Linked DNA regions of Canis lupus familiaris. The protein of the gene in region 1 interacts with the protein of each later gene in a pairwise test. Links are inferred from orthologs where the notes say so. Each region holds a gene or a part of one and is shown in the gene's direction. Other genes may lie near its edges.

What was found. The genes of interacting proteins can lie anywhere in the genome.
Region 2: the proteins of NMT2 (region 1) and ACBD6 interact in binary tests that used the Homo sapiens proteins (3 or more experiments, as listed by UniProt). The link is inferred for Canis lupus familiaris from reciprocal best matches to the Homo sapiens genes NMT2 and ACBD6.

Annotation. Positions count from the first base shown.
Region 1 is NC_049223.1:20,546,045-20,552,845, forward strand, and holds part of NMT2 (glycylpeptide N-tetradecanoyltransferase 2), read left to right. Parts: intron 1-94; exon of another isoform or gene 95-171; coding exon of another isoform or gene 172-225; intron 226-2,242; coding exon 2,243-2,387; intron 2,388-5,447; coding exon 5,448-5,566; intron 5,567-5,662; coding exon 5,663-5,754; intron 5,755-5,926; coding exon 5,927-6,043; intron 6,044-6,801.
Region 2 is NC_049228.1:13,908,016-13,915,559, reverse strand, and holds the start of ACBD6 (acyl-CoA-binding domain-containing protein 6), read left to right. Parts: upstream 1-2,641; 5' UTR 2,642-2,966; coding exon 2,967-3,188; intron 3,189-7,544. UniProt on the Homo sapiens protein: Binds long-chain acyl-coenzyme A molecules with a strong preference for unsaturated C18:1-CoA, lower affinity for unsaturated C20:4-CoA, and very weak affinity for saturated C16:0-CoA. Does not bind fatty acids. Plays a role in protein N-myristoylation.

The DNA of each region.
Region 1 (6,801 bases):
AGAGGTGTGCCTGACGTAGGGATTCAGTGGCGGGAAGCTAACATGGGGTTGATCCGCTTCTCACCTTCCCTAACATTAATTCATTTCTCCCCAGGCGGTGCTGCTGTGGAAGGTGAATGGATAGGTTTGAGAACGTATCGTAGCTGAATTTTCCTTTGCTGCTTTGTCACCATGGATTTGAAAACTGTGCTTACTTGTATCCACTTCAAGAAAGCACTTAAAATAGTGAGCGTTCAGATACAAATCTATCATGAATGGTCATTTTATGTCAAGACTGCTCGTCAGTCTGGTGAGGCTAATTAGGTGGAGTTGAAACCACTCTGAAACCACTCATGGAGTTGGGATATCCTTTGGAACAAAGTTGGCTCCTTTGGAACAAGGATGCCGATTCATGCTAGTCGCAGAATAGCTTGAGTTTAGTATATTTGTGATCAAGAATTTAACTCCAGCATTAGGAAGGAAAACATGCTGTTTGTCCCATAACAAATTCAGTGCAAGCATTGTAGGTTCAGATTTGTCTTTTTAAAGATAAATGGGTGCATGTTCAAGTGTTACTAACTGAAATACACTATATTCAGAGTTCCTGTTTACGTTGTAGGTCTTCTAATGCATTGCCTTGTTAAGGGTTCAGATGGATATAAATTTTATTTTGCTGGTATTCAGTAACTCTTATGTTGGAGGTTCAGAGGAGACCAGAGCAAGAGAAATCTAAAAATACAATAAATGGGAACAGTGAAAGTATTTTGTTATGTCAATATATGTAGCTGAAACCATACCTCTATGACTTAGACCTCTATGGAAATATAAGAGAAATGTCTTAGAAAATTATGACCCTCCTGGGTGATGCTGTTAGACTCATAAATGGAGACAGTAAGACAATGAACACATCTCTGATTAGACTCCAGCATTTTGTATCCTTGAATCATTTTAGTGGCAAGGATCCTAAGCAAACCCAACGATAGAGCAAACACAGGGCGGTCTGTATGAAATAAGCCCTGTTTTGTACTGTGTCAAATGGGTAAAGTTTCCCAAGTTAAAGGATAGACTCCAGACCACAGACATCAGATTCAAGGTTGAACAGAAGTCCAGAACTACTGTCAATAAACCGGCAGGGTCGGTGATACCTTTCCTTGATAGCTGTGGGATGTTGACATACAGGAAAACCGGGGGGCTCTGAAGTTCTTGTTAACCACCTCTGAACTTCAGTGGAGGGCATTCTTTGCATGGCATCAAAATACTAAAATAATAATTTCGTGTACTGAAAAAACTCTGTGATTTTCCAATCCGGCCCTGAGTGCTACTCTCTCAGTTCAAGTATGGTAGTCCCACTTTCCATTTGAGGGACTTTTCCAAAAAAAAAAAAAAAAAGAAAGAAAGAAAAAGAAAAAAAGAGCTGAAGAATCTGCAGAGATAAGAGGGATATTGGCTTGGAGGAAGGAACTTGAGAATCGAAAGGTATCATCAGTTTTCCAGACTGAGAATATGTTTTACTTAAAAAAGTTAATTTCCAACACTCAGGGTAGGGAAAACAGGCTGTGGTTGCCAAAAAATCTAAACTCAACGGAAGAAACTGCTTGTTCTAGTTGGAAGATTTGTCTCTGGAGAAGCATCTGGGCTGGAAGAGGCAGGGTGTGGTCCAGGAGGAAGGCATACTTAGAGATTTTCTTTCTTGATTAACTTCCTTCCCAGCTCAGCTCAGCACTCATTCACATTTCTTTCTTTTTTCCTTTCCTTTCCTTTTCTTTCTTTTCTTTTCTTTCTTCTTTTTAATGAACTAAAATTTCCTTCGTCTGCCTTATTTCCATTCTAGCTCGTTCTTTCCTCTGTCCTCACATTGCTACTACAGGGCATTAACCTCAACAGTGAAACCAAGGGTGTGCCTGACTGGCTGCCACCTGGTAGTAATGCATGCATGCATGTCAGTCCTCGGCTAGTGCGGGAGAGGACCCTCTGCAAATGGGTGGGACCCTGCAGCCCCGGGTGGTTGGCTTTGCTTCAGATTGCTCAAAACCTATATCAAAGCCTCATTAAAACCACTGAGTTGTTGTTACCTTTAACATACTGTGTTTGCTTCTGTTTTACTATGTTAGCATTCTTGAGTCCGAGGTCCTGACCAGGCTAGAGGAAGATTGTTGGTGTTTCAGTGTTGTAGTCTCCAAGGTGGATGCACGTGTATCTGCCCCAGGTTTGGGAGTGGTGGCAGCTTCCTCATTTTCGTGTCTGTGTGTCTTTGCTGTTGTAGAATCCCACCATTCCAATGCAGAAGTTGCAGGATATCCAGAGAGCAATGGAGCTGTTGTCCGCATGCCAGGGCCCTGCCAGGAACATTGATGAGGCTGCCAAACACAGATACCAGTTTTGGGACACACAGCCGGTACCCAAATTAAGTAAGCTTTTCTGCCTCCCTCCTCCTCCAAAAAAAACAGCTGGGTTAGCAACAAACAAACAAAAAACACAAAAGAAACTTAACTTACATAATTTGTTTTATACCGCAGATTAGCAATGTACACAAAAGTCCTGTTTTTCTTCTTAAAATATAAATATTGGAAAAAAATATATAAATATTGGGTAGTGACATTGGCTTTCGGTAGAAACAACTTTAGAGTTTCATTCCTCTTTCTATTAAAAAAATCCAGTTTCTCCCTCTTGAAACATTATTGTATTAAAAATATATATAAAAGACAGAGTCTCAGAACCTTTCTTGGTCCTGAGCTTCATAGAATTGTTTTTCCTGTGCATAAATTTATAGCAGTCTCACATCTGATTTATTTCAAAGATACAGGAAATTTGCCCTGCTAAATCTTATTGAAATGGAAAATTTTGGCGCAGCTTAACAATAGGATTCTGCAGGCTCACTGCTGGTGTTAATTCCTAGCAGCTCGAGAACAGCTGCGGTTCAGTAGGGACCTTGGGGGCCCCTTGGGAGCACCCTGGGGGCTCCTCTGTGCAGGGATGTCTGGGCATCAGGCCTCTCCCCTCTCCCCTTCGCACTTGGCCTGGTCCCTCACGTTCCACTCAGACTCTTGCCTCATAAGTTTCCGTAAGCATCATTTAACTCTTCCCTTGTTGCAATAAAAAATGATGCCGTAAATGCACTAAAATGTTTATAACTGTATTAAAAGCTAAAATCTGCTGCTTTCTGTTATCCTCATATGAAGATATATGATAATTATTTCTCTGTCTGGCTGTTCTTCCTCCTTGATTGTTTGGGTTCCAGAACGTGTAAGATGAAGGATTGTCATCCAGACCTTGTAATAATAGTCCAGCCATGTACAAATTATCAGTTTTATCACATAAAAATCAGGAAACGATCCTTGTCTGTGCCCTCAAATGATGGTTTTCAAACTTTTCAAAGTTACCAGGCCTCACCCAGCCATGTCCACCCCACGCATCTTCAAAAAACACGGGCTTAGGAGTGTGAAAGATAGAGGAAAACACTTATCCTCACTTGTCTCTTCTTTCAGGCTCTAGAAATACGTGTGTTCGGTAGTGGAGGGAGACTCCAGCATGAATTTACAGGGTTTAAAATGCTGTTGAATTGAGTGAGCTAAAGGGATGTAGGGTTGATTGATCCGATGTATTAGGTTTAGCTGCACATGCTTGGCAAGCTGCTGGTGGCTTTTAGGTCACTGCCCCTGGGGCAGGAAAGCCCGGCTGGCACCAACACATGTCTTTGGGAAGATAGGGGGCATGCGTCACATTTTGGCGCCCCCTCCCTAAATCCCTGTGGGATTCCCCTAGTTCCAGGGGGAACACCTGGTTTGCATCTCAGTTAAGGCAGCATCAAGGTTGGTGGCAGCAGAGGCAGCCCCCCACCCCCACCCCACCCCCACTGTTGTCCCCAATGTCCGGTGGGTAGCCAGGCTCTGAGGGGATCTCCTGAAAGGAACTCCAAGGGAACAGCTAAGAATCTGGCTCACCAGCGAGCTGGTGGAGGGGCAGTGAACTTCTGCTTCAGGGGAAGTGACAAAGTCAGGGGGAAGAAAGAAAGAGAAAACGAAACCCCTCGGAGCTGTTGCAGACCTTGTGGCTTCCACCAAGAACCTGTACCTGAAGGTCATTTATTCAGCAGATACCTGTTCCTTTTTTCCTCCTGGTTCTGTTTATTTATCCTTTGGGGTGTCATTGTCGTTTAGCAACATATTAGCTTCAGGGGTCAAACAGAATGATACCACATTTGTGTACATTGTCAAATGACCCCCACGGGAGGTCTACTAACCATCCCTCACCACACCTAGTTACAGATTTTTTTTTCTTGTAATAAGGACTTTTAAGATCTCCTGTCTTAGCAGCTTTCAAATATGCAATGCAGTATTATTAACTATAATCATCATGCTGTGTTTGCATCCCCTGAACTTACTTGCTTTATAACTGAAAGTTTCTGCCTTTTGACCCTCTTCACTCATTTCACGCTCCCACCCCTGCCCCCTGCCAACTGCCAGTCTGTTCTCTGTGTCTAGGAATTCAGAATTTTTGTTTTTTTAGATTCCACATGTAAGTGAACTCATACAGTATTTATCTTTCTCTCTCTGACTTATTTCACTTCCTGTACTGTCTTCAAGGTCCATCCATGTGGTCACCAATGGCAAGACTTCATTCTTTTTTATGGCTGAGTAATAGCAGATCAGTGTTGAGTATCTGTTGTTAAATGCCAGGCTCTGGGGAGTGTGCCAGGGGAACAGCGATGGGAAAGTAGGAAAGTAGGATGAAGACAGTGGCCAGGCGGGGATGGAGGGAGGGCCTCCTCCAGGTAGGAAAAAGCTTAAGTCAGGGAAGGATACTGTGGGAAAGTGATGTGTAAGCTTCTGTCTGCAAACCCTCAAGCGGCCCACCACATGGAGAGCGGGGGAGGGGCTCTGAGAGAAGAGGGAACCCCCAGATGCCATGAGCTGGGGCCAGTGAGAATGAACCTGGAGAACAAGGCCAGGCAGGGCCTGGGTTCTATCCCAGTCACACTGGGAGGCAGTGGGGAAGGATCTGGAAAGGGCACCCTCGTGAAAACCACGAGATGCTGATGTTTTCAGCTGGACTGCCAGCAGCCCCTGTGGAGAGAAGTTCTAGGTTTTGCGGGGTGGGGTCAGAGGTCACCTTGTCACCCCCTACCCCCAGGTGTTTGAAATGCAGAGTAAGAAGAGAGCCCATCTCCAGGCGGTCATCAGACCCACACTGTCCACTGTGGTGCAGCGCCATGGATCTGTCACTTAGGGGTTGAGGCTGTCCCTGGCATGTCGTAGTACACACCCTGTCATTGCAGGAGGAAGGATTTCTCCCTCTAATTGGTGAGATGGCAGCTCCTCTCCACTACCCGTCTCACTCCAGAAGGAGCTGAAACAGTGGTGAAACCCCAGGGCCCTAGAAATGATGTCGTTCTCTGTAACGGACCACTTTGGCCATCGTAATACACTATAGTTGGATGTTCGTTCTTTCTCTCCTCTGCCCCTCCGCAGATGAAGTCATCACGTCCCACGGGGCGATTGAAGCCGATAAAGACCACGTGCGCCAGGAGCCCTATTCCCTGCCCCAGGGTTTTATGTGGGACACCCTAGACTTGGGCAACGCCGACGTGGTGAGTAACGCTCCTTGGTTCGACACCTGCCATCGCACAAATTGCTTCCGAGTGGGTGGCGAGCACTGTAGACAGGACACTTGCTTGGTCTTGTAGCTCAAGGAGTTGTACACGCTGTTAAATGAGAATTACGTGGAAGACGAGGAGAGCGTGTTCCGGTTTGACTACTCACCCGAGTTCCTGCTGTGGTGAGTCTGGCTGGACGCCGGGGGGGGGGGGGGGGGGGGGGGGGGGGGGGCGGGGGGGGGCGGGGCAGGGGGCGCCCCGGGTGCGGGCAGTGGCAGGGTGGCGTGCCTTGGGCTCTCCCTGGGTTCCTGGACACTAACCTGCACCTGTCTTCCTTGCCTGCGTTGACCTCAGGGCGCTGCGTCCCCCAGGCTGGCTCCTTCAGTGGCACTGTGGGGTCAGAGTGTCTTCGAACAAGAAGCTAGTAGGGTTCATAAGTGCCATCCCCGCCAACATTCGGATTTATGACAGGTGCCTGTTAAAGCTTGTCCGTGTCAGTTTCGTTGTGTTGCTTTTCCAAGAATTGCAGTTACAGTGGGCTTTTAAAAGCGACTTACTCAGATTGTTCATAGTGGGGGAGGTTGTATAGGGAGGGAGGGGTCTAAGGGAACTCTCATTTCTGCTTTGTTTTACTAAATCTAAAACTGCTCTAAAAAATAAGGTTGATTTAATTTTTAAAAATTGGACTGTGAACAGCAAAAGAGGATAGCTGTAGCTCATAAATGCACACACACACAGACACTTGTTTTTTTTTTTAAGATTTTACCTATTTATTTGAGAGAGAAAGTGGGTAAGCTAGGGGAGAGGCAGAGGGAGAAAAAGACTCCCTGCTGAGCAGGGAGCCCAATGCAGGATCATGACCCCAACGGAAGGCAGATGCTTAACCTATTGAGCCACCCAGGTGTCCCACAAAAGATGAATTTTACATACGTGTATGTACATATGTATCAAGATAAAGAAAGCCGTAGTAGGTATTTCAGATGTATTTATGTAGAAAAAAAATTACCTTAAAAGATTTTAGGAGAGATTTTTTTTAAAAAATCTTTTGATCCATAGGACAGCTTTTTTGCATTTTTGCTCCCAGAAAGTCAGAGATCTAATGCATAGTAGGGCTGTTTACCTTTCAGTATATTGAGTGAGTTTCTTTGCTGCTAAAAAACATTTGATGTCAAGGGATCTCTGTGCCACATGGAATGCCTGCATATCTGAGACCAGAGCAGGGAACAGAC
Region 2 (7,544 bases), on another chromosome or scaffold:
CCACTGAGCTTGGACCTCCACCTTGGGCTTAACAATGGCTGGATCTCAGGATCCTGAGATCATATCCTGAGCTGAAATCAAGAATCAGATGCTTAATTGACTGAGCCACCCAGTACAATTGACTGCGCCCTCCTGGGTTTTAATACCACAGAATAGTTTTGCCTGATTTTGAGCTTTATGTGAATGGAAACATAGGAGTTCTTTTGTATCAGGCTTTCTGGGTTCTATGTTTAAGAGATTCATTCATGTGTTGTAATTGTAACTAATTCATTCTTGCTGCTGAATGGTACTCCATTATGTAAACACACTATATTTATTCTACTGTTGGTGGACTTCTGGGAGTTTCCAGTTTGGGAAAATAGAAATAGAAACAGTGCTGCCATGAATGTTCCTGTACATGCTTTTAGTGAACACATGTATGCATTCTCACCAGATAAAAGTAGAATTGCTGTATACTTCTGTTCATAAGAGAATTCTGCTTGCTTCATTCTCATGTTATCTAAACTGTTGCTGAATACAGAAAAAGAAACTTTTTAAATATTTTTTTTCTAAATATTTTCTACAAGGATACTACTACCCTGATACAAAATTGAGAAAGGATAGGGAAAAAAAAGGAATATTATTGGTTAATGCCCTCTTTAATTAGGGATGTAAAGATACTACCGTCAGCAAACAGAATCCACAGATATGAAAAAAAAGGCAAGACCGGGACCAGAATGGGTTTATTCAGGAAGAGAAGCATCACTTAAAATTAGGAAATCTATTAATGTATTAAAATGTATGTTAACTTATCAATTTCAATTATAAATATAATTCATTAAATTCCTATTAACTTAATAATATTGTTAATATAGTTCATTACAAGAGAAATTTTATTAATAATTCCTTTAAAAGGTTAAAGGAGGGGATCCCTGGGTGGCGCAGCGGTTTGGCGCCTGCCTTTGGCCCAGGGCTTGATCCTGGAGACCCGGGATCGAATCCCACGTCGGGCTCCCGGTGCATGGAGCCTGCTTCTCCCTCTGCCTGTGTCTCTGCCTCTCTCTCTCTATCATAAATAAAAAAAAAAAATCAAAAGGTTAAAGGACAAAAACATATAAACGGCCTAAAAAGCTGTCCATAATATTAAATTCACGTTTCTAGTAAAAATTCTAGAAACAGAGAAATACAAAGGTCCCTGCATCTTCTCTTCATTCTACTTTTCAGGTTCATGGTCTGTAATTACACCATAGACAGACTAACCCCTGCCTAAAACAACGGATGAGTTTGAATTTTTCCTTCTCTATTTATTAGCTGTGCAGCCTTGGGCAAGTTGCTCAACCACTCTGTGATTTCCTCCGTACACAGTGCAAATAACTGTACCTATCATTAGTAGTCGGGATTAAGTCCCTTACACATGAACGGCTTCAGTGAGTCATTATTATCACTGCATTTTAATTACAAGAATTTGTCCATCAGCCATCCCTTGATTGGATCGTGAGCGCCTGGAGAGCAAACAGGGGCAGACTCCAGAACCTCGAGGAAGGCTTGTGGAGTCCTGACGGCAGCTCTCCCAGCGTCTGGCCTTTCCTCCTGCCCTGTCCACCTGTGTCACACGCCCGGCAACCACTCTTTAGAACTCCTTCTTTGCACCAATCTTGATGGTGCTCATTACGCCGTTCTGAGTACCAAATGCACACACAGTGTTTCCGTTTTTGCTTTACAACACTTGGGGCGTAATAACCCCTAAGTACAAGTTGATTGTTATAATCATGTCGCAGGTTTTGTGTAGTTTTGTGTTCAGTTCCTTTAGGGCACAGCGGTCTCGTACTGTTTCACTTCAGCGTCTGCAAAACACGACAGCCGAGGCTCGGTCCCAGGAGCCCGGGGCTAGCGGGGCCCGGCTGGGGGGAAGCGGGGGGCGACCCCGGGCGACCCCGCCCCGCCCCGCCCCGCCCCGAGGAAGGGGAGGACAGCCAACCAGGCGGCTTCCGCGCGGAAAGCCCCGCCTCCCGGGTTTTCACCCGTTATTCAAGTCCGAGCCAAGCTCCCGAGCAACAGATGCGCGCGCAGGGGTCCGAGGCCAGGTTGGGGGCGCCCGGGCCACACGACCCGCCGAGGCGGGCGCAGGCGGAACCTTCGTCCTCGGCTCCGTGTTTCCCGCGACTCCGCTCCTACCGCCACACTAGCACCCGGGGGCCACCGTCCCCGCCCCGAGGGCCTATTCCCGGAACGGTTTCCTGACTCTGAATAGTCATTTTGGTGCAACGACGAACAGACGTCCCAACGGCTGAGGAGAGTCTCTCCGAGCTGCAGCTCCGTAGCGTGGCCCCGCGAGTGCCCGGTAGCCGGACGTGGGCGCACCCCGCGCAGAGCCCGCCGCCGCCGCCGCCGCCGCCGCCGCCGCCGCCGCCGCCGCCGCCGCCGCCGCCGCCGCCGCGCCTCGCCCCGCGCGCGTGCTCGGACACGTGCTCGGACGTGTGCTCGGGCGCGCGCTCGGCGCGCGCGTGCTCGGACACGTGCTCGGACGTGTGCTCGGGGCGCGCGCTCGGGCGCGCGCGTGCTCGGACACGTGCTCAGGCGCGCGCGGGGCTCCGCCCGCCCCGCCCCCGCGCGCACGCGCACGTGGCCCCGCCCCCGCCCCCGCCCCGCCCCCCGCCCTCCCTTCCGGATCTCTCAGCTGCGCCGCCGGGAGACCCCCTCGCCGGTGAGGGGCCCCGGGTCGAGCCCGAGCGCGGTGCCGGCCGGAGGAAGCCGCGGGAGACCGGGTGGGCCGGGCGAGCCGCCGAGAGTAGCGGGGCCTGCCCTGCACGCCCGGAGAGAAGTGGGAGGCGGGCGGAGTTACGGGAGGCCGCGCGAGCGAGTGAGCGTGGGTCCGACTCGAGGTCGGGCTCGGGCCCGAGGCGGGTGGGCCAGGCCCCCCGAGCCGGCGTTGCGCGCGGCCTGGGACGCACGGCGCGGGCGCGGAGGCGCGGGGCGAGCGAGGACGCATGGCCTCGCCATTCCTGACCGCGGGGGCCACCACGGGCGACAGCGGCGGAGAGCTGAGCTCGGGGGACGACTCCGGCGATGTGGAACCCCGCCAGAGCCCCGAGACCGAGGCGTCCGGGAGCCTGGCAGAGCTCTTTGAGCAGGCTGCCGCGCACCTCCAGGGCCTGGTTCAGGTGGCCAGCCGGGAGCAGCTCTTGTACCTGTATGCCAGGTACAAGCAGGTAAGGTCCCGGGAAGGGGGTGGGTGCGGGAGAGCGGCAGGAGAGGCCTTCTCTGTCCCCCAGAATCTGATCGTACAGGTGCTTGGGTTGATGGCTAGGTGGGATGAAGTTTGCGTGTGTGTGGGGGCGCGTGTGTGTGGTCATCTCCTAAAGCATTAGCATCATTCTGAATGTGGATAGGGCCTGTCCGCTGTCCTGGGAGACAGAGGTGGTTGGACACCGAATGGCAGTTTCCCGTGTCTTCTCTGACTTGTACAGTGACCTTGCACTCGTGCTTTTACCAGCTTCAGAACCTTTGTAAAATGAGGATGATGAAATAAGGTTTGTCATTCACTCTTGCCAAAGGGTCATATGGAGGTAATTATGGAAGTAACATGGTCCTATGGAAGTAATGTTAAAAAAGAAATTGTGAGATCCAGGAGAATTATGTGATCGTAATAAAAGGGTGATGCAAAATAAACCATTACTAGTTTTATTATTGTGATTTTTAAAATCCTAGTTATATTAGACTTGTGTTTTGGCTTAATGGGCAGGAATTCTGACTGTTAGATACAATTATAAACATTTTAAAGCTAGTAAACGCCAGGTGAAACAATCCCCTTCCTTTGGGGGATAGGAAACGGAAGCCCGAAGAGAGTAGATAACCTGTCCAGGGTCTTAGGGACAGATGAGTGGGAACTGGAACTAGATTGTAGCTCCTGACTCTGACTAAGGCTCTGAGCTTTATCTGGGAATAATAATCCTAATGTCATGTAAGACATGTTTAATTTAGCATTCAAAGAGTCACAGGTACCAGAAGGAAAAATGATTGCTTTATCATAATCAACCAGTAGTTGTATAACATCTTTTATGTGCAAAACACTTGGGTGTTAGCCTACAGGGAGTGCAAAGAAGAAAAAGCATGGTGGTATTTTCCTTCAAGAGACTTGGAAAGTTACATGAGGAATCTAGATTTAAACACATGAAAATTGCTAAGAAGAGTTAGATAACATTTTAGGAAAACTCCAGTTCTTTGGAACACTGGAAGCAATGAGCACATTTTATTTCACTAAAAAAATTTAGGGATGCCTGGGTGGCCCAGAGGTTGAGCGTCTTGCCTTTGGCTCAGGGGGGATCAAGTCCCACATCGGGCTCCCTGCATGGAGCCTGCTTCTCCTTCTGCCTATGTCTCTTCCTCTCTCTCTGTGTCTTTCATGAATTAATAAATAAAATCTTAAAAAAAATTTTTTTTACCGTTGTTTTACTTCTTGATATCTATTCCCTTATGCATTCTTTTAAGAAAAAAAAAATAGTTTTAAGACCCCTCTGTAGGGGATCCCTGGGTGGCTCAGCGGTTTAGTACCTGCCTTTGGCCCAGGGCGTGATCCTGGAGTCCCGGGATCGAGTCCTGCATCGAGCTCCTTGCATGGAGCTTGCTTCTTCCTCTGCCTCCATCTCTGCCTCTCTCTCTCTCTGTGTGTGTGTGTGTGTGTGTGTTTCTCATGAATAAATAAAATCTTAAAAAAAAAAAAGACCCCTCTGTATTCTTCAACTGAATATACTGAATAGTGATGAACTATCTTTTGAGGACTGGTGAATTTGAATTATGAATACCAGTTAAAGTGACTTGAGAGACATAGCTGTAGATACATACGGTATAAATTACAGTGTTGAATGAAAATTGCCCTTGAATTGGCTTTGGAATTTCTTTCTTGCAGAAGTTCTGGATTATCTTTTTCTCTTTGGTTATTTACCTTGTCGCAATAACATCAAAATGAGACTTTCAGTTATTTAACAAGAGTTTATTGAACATTCTGCTAGGACCTTTAACATGTCTGACTGCTAATTCTTCGGGCAGCATAAAACTGTTTTTCTCCAAATTCCCTAGAGAACATTCTTTCTCTTTCTAGGACATAACTTTATTACTGATATTAGTGTCATCATTATTAGTATCTGATTTCTGGATTATCAGTGAACTATAGTCATCTGTTAACTGGTAACCATTCTGTCTCAAGTATACTCACTTAATCCTGGAAGTGGTGTGTCCCTCACCCTTTCAAGAACTCCATGTTAAGGTGTTTAGAGATATTCTGTATCTGGAAATAAAATTCTTCATTATTAGAAAATAGGATTATGCTTACTTAGATATGACATTGGGATGCAATTTTCATCCATTCTTCTACATTTTTTTTCTTTTTTTTTTTTGAGCGGGAGAAAGAATTGTAAGCAGGCTCCATGCCCAGTGCAGAGCCTGATGCAGGGCTCCATGCCATGACCCCAAGATCATGACCTCAGCTAAAAATCAGGAGTCAGATACTTAACTGACTGAGCACCCAGGTGCCCCTAAATATATTTTTTAAAGGTTTTATTTATTTATTCATGAGAGACACACAGAGAGAGGGTGAGACACCGGCAGAGGGAGAAGCAGGCCGCATGCAGGGAGCCCGACTTGGGACTCCATCCCAGGTCTCCAGGATCATGCCCAGGGCTGACGGTGGCACTAAACCACTGAGCCACCAGGGCTGCCCTAATTTTTTTTTTTTTTTAACAGAATTCTGAGATAGTGTTAAAAATCTTTGATTTTTTTGATTAGCATCTTTGATAAAATAATAAAATTGAAATGCCAATATAATTCTTGCATGGTGGATCAGAATCTCTCATGAAACAATTATGTTTTGTATTTGGAGTAGCACTGTATTTTGGAGGCCAAATGAAATAGTTGTCCCCAGGAGGATGATAAAAATAAGCTGAGCTGTGAGCCTTCTTTTCTTAGGCAGAGCTCCAAACTTACCTAACATAATAGCTCTTTTAGCCTCACATAAGCCTGTGGCTTCAAAATCATCTTTTAGTGAAGTTTCAAATAGATCACACCAATGAACAGTCTTTTGGTACTCCACATTATCCTACACTTTCCCATCAAAAGATCATTAATTGACTCCTGTGAAAACTCCAGGACAATGAAAATTACAAATCCCTGTTAGCTTCATTTTACAGGACCCTTCAGCACTAGCACAGTGAAGATTCTCAGCATGTTCTACTTTAACCTGCTCACACATAATTCACTGGCATTTGCCATTAGCCCCCTTTGTTAAAATATTCTGTTTTAAGGGCACTGGATATATCCTGTATGTATCAGAACATACTGTTCTGTTAAGGTGGCACATTTTGTAACTGCTTTATAGCTTATGATTCATTATTAATGATTTGGAAACTGTTTCTCATCATGTCCTAAAACCCTGTAGTTTTATTTATCCAGTCTTTTCTTTTTTTTTTTTAATTTATTTTTTATTGGTGTTCAATTTACTAACATACAGAATAACCCCCAGGGCCCGTCACCCATTCACTCCCACCCCCTGCCCTCCTTCTACCACCCCTAGTTCGTTTCCCAGAGTTAGCAGTCTTTACGTTCTGTCTCCCTTTCTGATATTTCCCACACATTTCTTCCCCCTTCCCTTATATTCCCTTTCACTATTATTTATATTCCCCAAATGAATGAGAACATATAATGTTTGTCCTTCTCCGACTGGCTTACTTCACTCAGCATGATACCCTCCAGTATCCAGTCTTTTCTGATCCAGAACAATTCTTTGAATTGGGGAATACAGAAGCTTCTGTTTCAGAATACAAGGTCAGCTGCTGAGCTTTTATTTTCATCACACATAATGGTCTGGAGGTAGGTGATCTAGTGCTGGTAGGGTGATTTTGCTTCATGAGATCACCCAGGGGCTTAGTCTTTTTCTGTCCTGTAGTTCAGCCATCCCCAAAGGCAGCAGTTCTCAAATTATGGTGTAGAGACCCTTGAGAATCCCTGAGACTTTCTCAGGAGATCTATAAGATCAGAACTATTTTCATGATAATACTAAAACAATATTTGCCTTTCTTCTGTGTGGTAAAACTGCTGATGCATCAGCATGAATCAAGGCTGGGCAGCAGACTGTACCAGTAGTCATATATTTTTACCACCATGTACTCAGTTAAAAAAAAAAAAGCCAATTTCACTTAAAAATGTCTTTGATAAAGCAGTAAAAACTATTGATTTTTATTAAATATTAACTCTTGAGTACAGGTCTTTTTAATATTGTGTGTTTTGAAATGGGGAGTACACACAAGGCAGTTCTGCACACTGCATTATGTTGGTTATTTTGAGGAAAAGCACTTGTGTAATTTTTGAGTTGCAAGCTGAGCTATCCACATTTTACGTGAAACATCATTTTTCCTTAATAGCACAACTCACAGATAAACTATGTTTATTTAAATTTGAGTATTTGGCAGATGGCTTCTTCAAAGTCAATGAAGTGAGCCTGTCACTTTAAGGAAAACAGCTGCCAGTATTTGTTGCCAGTGGTCGTGTTTGAGCCTTCAAGTGAAAATTAGAGG